Linked DNA regions of Oryctolagus cuniculus. The protein of the gene in region 1 purifies or fractionates together with the protein of each later gene. This does not show direct contact. Links are inferred from orthologs where the notes say so. Each region holds a gene or a part of one and is shown in the gene's direction. Other genes may lie near its edges.

The links.
Region 2: the proteins of UBR2 (region 1) and UBE2B purify together in Homo sapiens (affinity purification with western blotting; 3 studies listed by BioGRID, with this or other methods). This does not show direct contact. The link is inferred for Oryctolagus cuniculus from reciprocal best matches to the Homo sapiens genes UBR2 and UBE2B.

What each region holds. Positions count from the first base shown.
Region 1 is NC_091436.1:127,283,073-127,286,880, reverse strand, and holds part of UBR2 (E3 ubiquitin-protein ligase UBR2), read left to right. Parts: intron 1-1,556; coding exon 1,557-1,657; intron 1,658-2,929; coding exon 2,930-3,008; intron 3,009-3,808. UniProt on the Homo sapiens protein: E3 ubiquitin-protein ligase which is a component of the N-end rule pathway.
Region 2 is NC_091437.1:22,633,073-22,637,411, forward strand, and holds the start of UBE2B (ubiquitin-conjugating enzyme E2 B), read left to right. Parts: upstream 1-1,403; 5' UTR 1,404-1,406; coding exon 1,407-1,450; intron 1,451-1,473; exon of another isoform or gene 1,474-2,029; intron 2,030-3,264; coding exon 3,265-3,345; intron 3,346-4,339. UniProt on the Homo sapiens protein: E2 ubiquitin-conjugating enzyme that accepts ubiquitin from the ubiquitin-activating enzyme E1 and transfers it to a E3 ubiquitin-protein ligase. In vitro catalyzes 'Lys-11'-, as well as 'Lys-48'- and 'Lys-63'-linked polyubiquitination.

The sequences.
Region 1 (3,808 bases):
CAATACCATACTCAGGAAGTTGGAATATTCCTGTGTATTCATGAAAACTCTCTTTACTTCTAGGGAGCCTGTTTTAAGTATGGCCCTCATTATCTCTAAGGGATACCCACTAAGCAGAAAAGGGCAGTGCCGCCTGACCTTGCTGACCAGTCTAACAACTGAATTCAATGTTTGGCAATTTTTGGGTCAGTAGTAGCTTTAGGAAGAAGACTAAAACATGAAAATCTGTTGGTGTATTTAAAATGGAAAATTCCTGTAGTTTCACCATTTTTAAGATACTTTTAGTTAATAAGAATATTGAATATATTCATTCCAAATATAAATTATATACTATCTACCATTCAAATCTGAATGTTATTTCTCAGTTTGGAATTATGATATCCTTCTTACAAGCACAAATACTAATTTAAGAATATAAATCATCTATTTCGGTACTGTTACTTTTATTCAATTCAAAGTAACATCAGGGGCAGCCATTGTGCAACTGGGTAAATCAGTGCTTGGGATACCACATCCTGTATCTGAGTTCCTGGGGTCAAGTCCTGCTTCCACTTCCTCTCCGGCCTCCTATATATTTGCCTGGGAGGCAGAAGATGATCACCCAAGTACTTGGGTTTCTGCCGCCCACAAAGGAGACTCAGACAGACTCTGGACTCCTGGCTTCTGCCTGGCCCAGTCCCAGCTGTTGCAGGCATTTGGAGAATGAACCAGGGGATGAAAGATCTCTGTCCCCATGTCTGTCACTCTTTCAAATACATAAAACTTAAAAGTAAATTTCTCTCTTCAGTTTGGAGGGTCAAGCTTTGGTGTTTTAGTCTGTTCTACCGCAAAATGTTCTTTAAATAGTAGATTTGAATGTAAGTTTATGCTTTTTCATTGTGAAAGAACAGCTTGGTGCTTACCTGCACTTGAGCTGGTAAAGAAATTAGTCATTGTTGGTTGAGGGTTTCACCTGTCACTTTTGTGGTTCAGATTTTGTTTTTCTCCCTTGAGAGTCGGCCATGGCACGGTCATAATGGAATACTGTCATAAAAAGACAGGCTTTGGAGTCTGACTGAACTGAATTTGAATGACAGCTCTATCCCTTATCATGGCCTTAGTTGAGTTACAAAGCTTCAAACTTCAGTTTCCTCATCTGTAAGTGGGGACAGTAAAATAACCTGCTTAATAGGAGTATTTTGAGGATTAAATCTAGTACTGTAAGAGGTGCACAGCAACATGCTTTACTGCATGCTTCTCATATCATCAGCACTTAATATGTATTAGTAGCACCGGTAGTTGTGGTATTTAAGAAAGTCTATTAAATTCCAGTTCTGAAAAACTGAGTGAAATTTTTAACAATGTCATTAGCATCACTTAACAAATAATATATTTTTATTTCCATTGGCCTATATCTATTCTGGTTTCTTTTCTAAATTTTCCCCTGGCTGTTTTTCTCCTCAATATTGGAATTATATCTAAATCATATCTGTGTGCCTGTGATCATTTAAGAAATTTTTTATATCTTAAACTAAGCAACAACAGTGAAGTGCTAAATGTTCTGTCATCTTTTCTAGGTTAAATTTTTCAGACCAACCAAATCTGTCCCAATGGATCAGAACAGTATCTCAGCAAATAAAAGCATTACAAGCTCTTAGGAAAGCAGGAAGTGCTTCTGGTAAGTTCTGTTTTCATGTTTCCTTGCAGTCTGAGATCCTTAGAAATGTGTTTCCAGAAAATACTGTTTAAAAAGTATCTAAAAGTGAGGGATTAGCATTGTGGTACAGCATTTTAAGCCACTGCTTGGGATGCCAGCATCCTAAATCAGAGTGCCAGTTTGAGTGCTGGCTACTCTACTTCTAGTCCAGCTGCCTGCTAATGTGCCTAGGAAGGCAGAGGAAGATGGCCCAAATGCTTGAGCCTCTGTCACCCGTGGGGAAGACCCAGTTGGAGTTCTGGGCTCCTTGCTTTGACCTGGCCCAGCCTAGCTATTGCTGTCACCATGTTGCTTGTTTAACTCCCTTCCAGCAGTTGGAAGATGGATCTCTCTCTCTGTCACTTTGTCACTCTGCCTTTCCAATAGATAAAATCTTTTTCTTTTGAAATATTTAAAATTGAAACCTCCCGTTGAATGGTTTGACTCATTCCAGTTCTCTTTATAAGCTAAATTTTGCTTTGTTACATTATTCTTCATTCCTTGAAAACTTATAAGCTCATGTGAAGTTTATAGTAAGTACTCCTCACTTAGTCCCTCATTTTATTGAAAACCTTCTGGGGGTGTGGAAGATGTAGCTGAGTGCTGAAGAGCTGGCTCTGGTTCTGCCATGTGACTTGCTCGACTGTGAGCCGAATCAGAGGCTTCTTGCACCCCATACTGCCCGCAGGGAACTGAAGAAAATGCCTTGGTCAACCACGACAGTGGTTCATGCTTTTTTTTTTTTCTTTTTTAAGATTTATTTATTTTATTTGAAAGTCACAATTACACAGAGAGAAAAGGAGAGGCAGAGAGAGAGAGAGAGAGAGAGAGAGAGAGAGAGGTCTTCCATCCACTGGTTTACTCCCGAGTTGGCCGCAACGGCCAGAGCTGCACCGATCTGAAGCCAGGAGCCAGGAGCTTCCTTTGGGTCTCCCACATGGGTGCAAGGGCCCAAGGACTTGGGCTATCTTCTACTGTTTTCCCAGGCCACGGCAGAGCTGGATCGGAAGTGGAGCATCTGGGTCTCAAACTGGCACCCATATGGGATGCAGGCACTGTGGCGTAGTGGGCAAAGCTGCTGCCTGCAGTGCCTGTAGTCCATGCTTTACATGGATGCTATGCAGGTTTCTGTTTGTGGAAATTTTTTATTTTCATCCTTTTTTTTTATATCTATTTCTATGACCTATATGGCAGAAATTTATAGAGACATTGTGATTTGTTGAATAATGGTTAAAAAAATGCCTATTTCTGTAGATACCGCCTCTTCAAAGAATGTAGAAAAGGTGAATGAATTACAGCTACCTGAAGGGTTCAGGCCTGATTTTCAACCTAAGTGAGTATATTCTTTTATTCCTTTTAAATTTGGCCTATTTTAAATGAAAATTTAGTATCAACAGTTAGTAAGAAAGTGATTTGGTAAGCTAGGGAGCAAAATTGTTATAAGAACTAATCTTAAATTCTGAAGTTTAAGCATTACATGATGATATTTGTTGAAATATGTGTGTATGTATTTTTTTAAGTCGAAAAACCATGTTGCCTGTTTAACTGTTAACTACCCTCTCCTAGTCTACATTGCTGATCCCCTACTGTGTCTCTTTATCTGGCTGTCCTTAGTAATTCATCAGGACATGGAAATCCAAAACACTCAGCTTCCCTACCAAGTCTTGTGCTTCCTTCTGACTTCCGTAGTTCTATTTATGGCCCCACCAGCCTCTTGGTAACCCAGGATCAAAACCGAAGTATTGGGGTGGGCGTTTGGCATAGTGGTTAAGTCATTGCTTAATACATTTACATCGTATATCAAGGTGCCTGGAGTCAATGTCCAGCTCTGGCTGCTGACTCCAGCTTCCTGCTACTGCAGATCCTGGGAGGCTGCAGTGATGGCTCAAGTAATTGGGTGCCTGTGGTGCCTGCCACCCTCATAGGAAACCTGGATTGAGTTTCTGATTCTGAGCTTTTGCCTGGACCTAACCCCAGCAGTTGCAGACATCCTGTGGAGTAAATCAGCAGATGGAGGAGGGATTCTGTCTCTCTTTCTCTCATAAATAAGTAAATAATTCTTTTAAGATTTTATTTATTTATTTTTGAAGATTTATTTATTTGAAAGGCAAAGTTACAGAGAGGCAGAGGCAG
Region 2 (4,339 bases), on another chromosome or scaffold:
AGTTAACCCTTTCTGGTTCCATGGAACTGTGGGCAATTTCTGTGCGAAATTAGGTGGTTCTCATCCTACCCTCCTTCTCCTTGTAGAACTGAATTCCTCCATAGGGAAGGGCTCAGAGCCCTCCAGACCAACAAAATCCTCAGGACAGAAACGGAGGCTACAGGGAGGGGGAATTTAGCACCTGAAGGAATGTTCAGGGTCCCCATAGTCCACACCTGTGAGGAGGTGGCACTTGCGCCCATTCGCACCCTACTTGCGAATGCAGAGAAATCTAAAATGAGTTATCTGGGGCTGGCTATATAGCTCCCACGTGCCTCCACGATGCCTTCCTCCAGATCTGAGTCCTTTTGTAGATTTCGTTGACAACCAACCACTCCTGATCTGCTCACGCGGGTGCACCCCCATTTTCTAACAAATCCAAAGAGCAGGCAAATCCGTCGTTATCTTAGAATGAACACAGACCCATTAAAAACTTATTTCCATGGGGCCTTTTTAACTCTTCTGTCTTCACCTAGAAGTAGCAACCTTGGGAACCCCACTGCAAGGCGGGAACAGACATCCGGCAGCCGTGGGGAAACATTTCGGGGCTTTTACTTTGCGTTGTGCTCCCTAGAAGGTGACAGCCTTTCGGTTTTCCCTCCTGCCCCACGGAGCAAAGTTGATAAGCCAATGAGGGATAACAATGAAGTCCTGAGTTACTTGTGGTTCCGTTTTTTAAACTTTGGAATCAATCTATCGTTCCAGCACGACTCCGGCTGTAAGGTCCCGGTATCTGGGACAGACGCGAGGAACAACTAATGAAGACATACCCCGCCCTCCGCTTCCCAGACCCGGCCGAGCAGGTCCAGGGGACGCGCTCACGTGACCCGTTCTAAAGCGTCACAGGGACACGTGGTTCTAGATACTTCGTCCCCTCCCCCTCAGGGGTGGATTGTTGACAACGCCGGCGGCGGCCACGTGACCTTACGTCATCCCTCCTCCTTTCCCCGAAATCTCTGGCCCCGGATGCGGTCCCTCTCTCCCCACCCCGCCGAACCTAAGTTCGTGACGAGGGGGGAAGACAAAGTAGTATTTCCGTTTCTGTGTCGCTTAACCCACCACCTCTGCTCTGAGCACGGAGAACACTAATTTGTCGATCCGTAACAGAAGGCGGAATGGGAGCGATCGCAGCCGGCGGGCTGCAGGAAGCGGCGCCGGCCCGCTCCTCCGCCCGGCTCCCCCTGCTGCCATGGTAGCGGCGGAGGGCGGAGGGATCTGGAGGCGGCGGAGGGAGACGTCATTGCGGGGTTGTTTGTGCAGTCTCGGCGGCGGCGGTGACCCACAGTGATTCGGCCGCCGCGCCGGGGGGTGGGGGGGCTGCGCGGGACTCTTTTTCTTTCAGATTGACCGCGGGGCAGCTGGGGAGCATGTCGACCCCGGCGCGGAGGAGGCTCATGCGGGATTTCAAGCGGTAAGGGCCTCCTCCCGCCCCCCGATGGCGGCTCCTTCCTGAAGCTGTGGGGCTGCAGGGCGGGATCCCGGACACCTTCCCCTGTTGCCTGTAAAGGCGCCGGCTGTGGGCCCGGCGGGACCTACGGAAGCCCGGTGCTGGCCTCGCCAACCTCTCTGAGGACTCAGAAATTCCGCTGCGACCCCTCCCATCCCCCGAAAGTGGAGAGGTGGCGATCGGCCGGCCTGGGGCGCCCTGCACCGCGCGGCGCCCCCTCTCTCTGGCCCAGAAGCGAGCTCTTGAAGGAGCTTGCTCCTCGCCCGCTGCAGCGGTCAGCTTTGTTCCGCGCCCGGGGGACGGGGTTGGGGCCCGGAGCCCCCTCCCCCCCGTTCCTTTGCGCCCCGCGGGGAGGGTGGGGTGTGCCGCGCGAGGTCGGGAGGTGGTTACCCCATCCCCGAAACCCGACTCTGCCCCCGCCGCCTGCCAGGACCTTGAGAGCTGGCGTCGGAGCGGGGCTCGGGCCGCTGAGCGCAGCCCTATCTATAGCCCGCCGGCCCTGGCGCGCGTCCGAGCCCCGCCGAGCCTCCCTTTGTGACTGAGGTGTGGGGGTTGTGGGGAGGAAACTGCCCCTTTTTTGGTTTGTTTGGTTGCCTTGTGCGGGCTACTCGGAGCTCAGAGAAGCAGTGAGAGAGAACTTAGCGGAGGTTTTCTGGGGGTAGACTTGCCTTAATGGGGACTTGGTAGGTGGTATCAAAACTTGGATTTGCCGCTCAAGAAGTAACCTCTCAACTTGGCCATTGTAAAGGCTTATGTAAGGCATTTGGGAGCCATTGTTTGCGCTTTGGCCACCGTGTTAGTTCACTCGTGGCTTCTCGAGCGATTTACAAGGAGGTGTCCAGCTCCTCGGGCTTCCGGTCAGGAGGCCTGGTTTGCCCGATGTTAACTGAAAACCGTGTTTACGTGGCTCACTGCAAAGCACTGTGTGCAAATGAGTGCCTCTGTATTTGTGCCTTAATGTAGTAGTTTTAGTGTGGGGACAGTCTGGAACAGACCTCTGGGGTAGAAATCTTACATCTGAAGCTTAGAATCAGGAACGTTGCATTCGTTCCCATGACTGAAATTCAAGAGGCGAGACTGGCAGCCGGTGCCATTGTTGCCCAGTTCCTGCGGCGAGTGTTTACTGCTGGGGGGAACACATGGCAGGCAGCCTGGTGCTCCTCCAGGGGTCTTCAGAGGAGGAGGTTTCGGTCTTGCTGCCTCATGAGCGCAGCGCCATCAGAGGCAGCCTGCTGGGCAACCCAGCTGCGGGTCACTCCGAAAAGCCGCTGCCCAGCGAAGCACAGGGGATGCAGAAATCCAGACCCTGATGAACCTGAACCCAGGTGCTTTCGGCCCTCACTGTCTGCACTGAGGTTTGCCCTGCAAAGCCCCTTTTTTGCAACCATGTTGCACAAGCAGCTGTAGTTTGGATTCGCACAGTCTGCCTGCTTGGAGCAGCACCATCAATGGTTCCGGGGAAATATTTTTTTTGCCCTTGAGGTTTTACAGCTGTGGGGCAAGAAGGCAGCCTGTGTACGGGCGTTTTTGAAGAGATGTTTTACTCTTGTAGTAGCTCGAGAGGGATGACTCCCAGGTCGTGAGAGGTATTTATGAGTGCGTTAGAATATCCCTGGTGATGTATTTAAGTCATGTGAGTCACTGCAGCCCGGTGCAACAACAAGGAAATGGGTATGGTTTCTGTCTCCGCATAGCTGGTACAGAGGCCATAAGTGTTCTTTTTGGCCTCCTTCGTGGCTCTAATGCTCGCTTTTAAACCGACCACTCTGGATTTCCAGACTGCAGGAGGACCCACCTGTGGGTGTCAGCGGCGCACCGTCGGAAAACAACATCATGCAGTGGAATGCGGTTATATTTGGGTGAGTTGAAAGATTTCAGTTAAGAAAAACTTGAACATTTTGGTAGTCATACCAAGCTTATTTGCTCTTTGGTGGTGTTTCACATATGGTTTAATACTCAATTTTTTACTTGTTAATATAGTAGTTGAGGGCCGGCACCGCGGCTCAATAGGCTAATCCTCCGCCTGTGGCGCCAGCACACCGGGTTCTAGTCCCGGTCGGGGCGCCAGATTCTGTCCCGGTTGCCCCTCTTCCAGGCCAGCTCTCTGCTGTGGCCCAGGAAGGCAGTGGAGGATGGCCCAGGTGCTTGGGCCCTGCACCCCATGGGGAGACCAGGAGAAGTACCTGGCTCCTGCCATCGGATCAGCGCAGTGCGCCGGCCGCAGCACGCCAGCCATGGCAGCCATTGGAGGGTGAACCAATGGCAAAGGAAGACCTTTCTCTCTGTCTCTCTCTCTCACTGTCCACTCTGCCTGTCAAAAAAAAAAAAAAAGTCTTGAAGTCTTGATACCAAGAATATGAGAACTTTGTGACACGACTTGCAGTGAGAATGTTTCACATCTCAGTGTCCCAGTGTGAGATGCCTGGAGCCCTGGGAGAAGCAGCCTTCGATGGGATACTGAGGCTGTTGAGTGTGACCTTTTCTGTGCTGCCACGCTGGTTTTCCTGGACTTGCTCTCTTTTCTTTCATTCTTCTTAAGCTAGCGTTTTGCACTAATATTTGAATATCTGAAATAGTTTCATAAACAACTTGGAGTTGTCAGACTCCATTGTGAGTCTGCATATAATGACCAGTAGAGAAGCAGCAAAGGTCACCGTGCACAGTAAAATGGTTCTGTCACAGTCAGGCTGTTCCCTTGCTGGAGGTCCTGGCTGTGCCCTGCCAGCAGTAATTGCTTTTCCCACTGCTGCTTAGGAAACCTGCGACTGGGGTGTGGCGGCCGGGAGGTGATCTGCGCGAGCGAGCATCCCCTGTGCTGAGCGCGTGCTGTTTGGAGAGCAGGGTGGTCGGGGG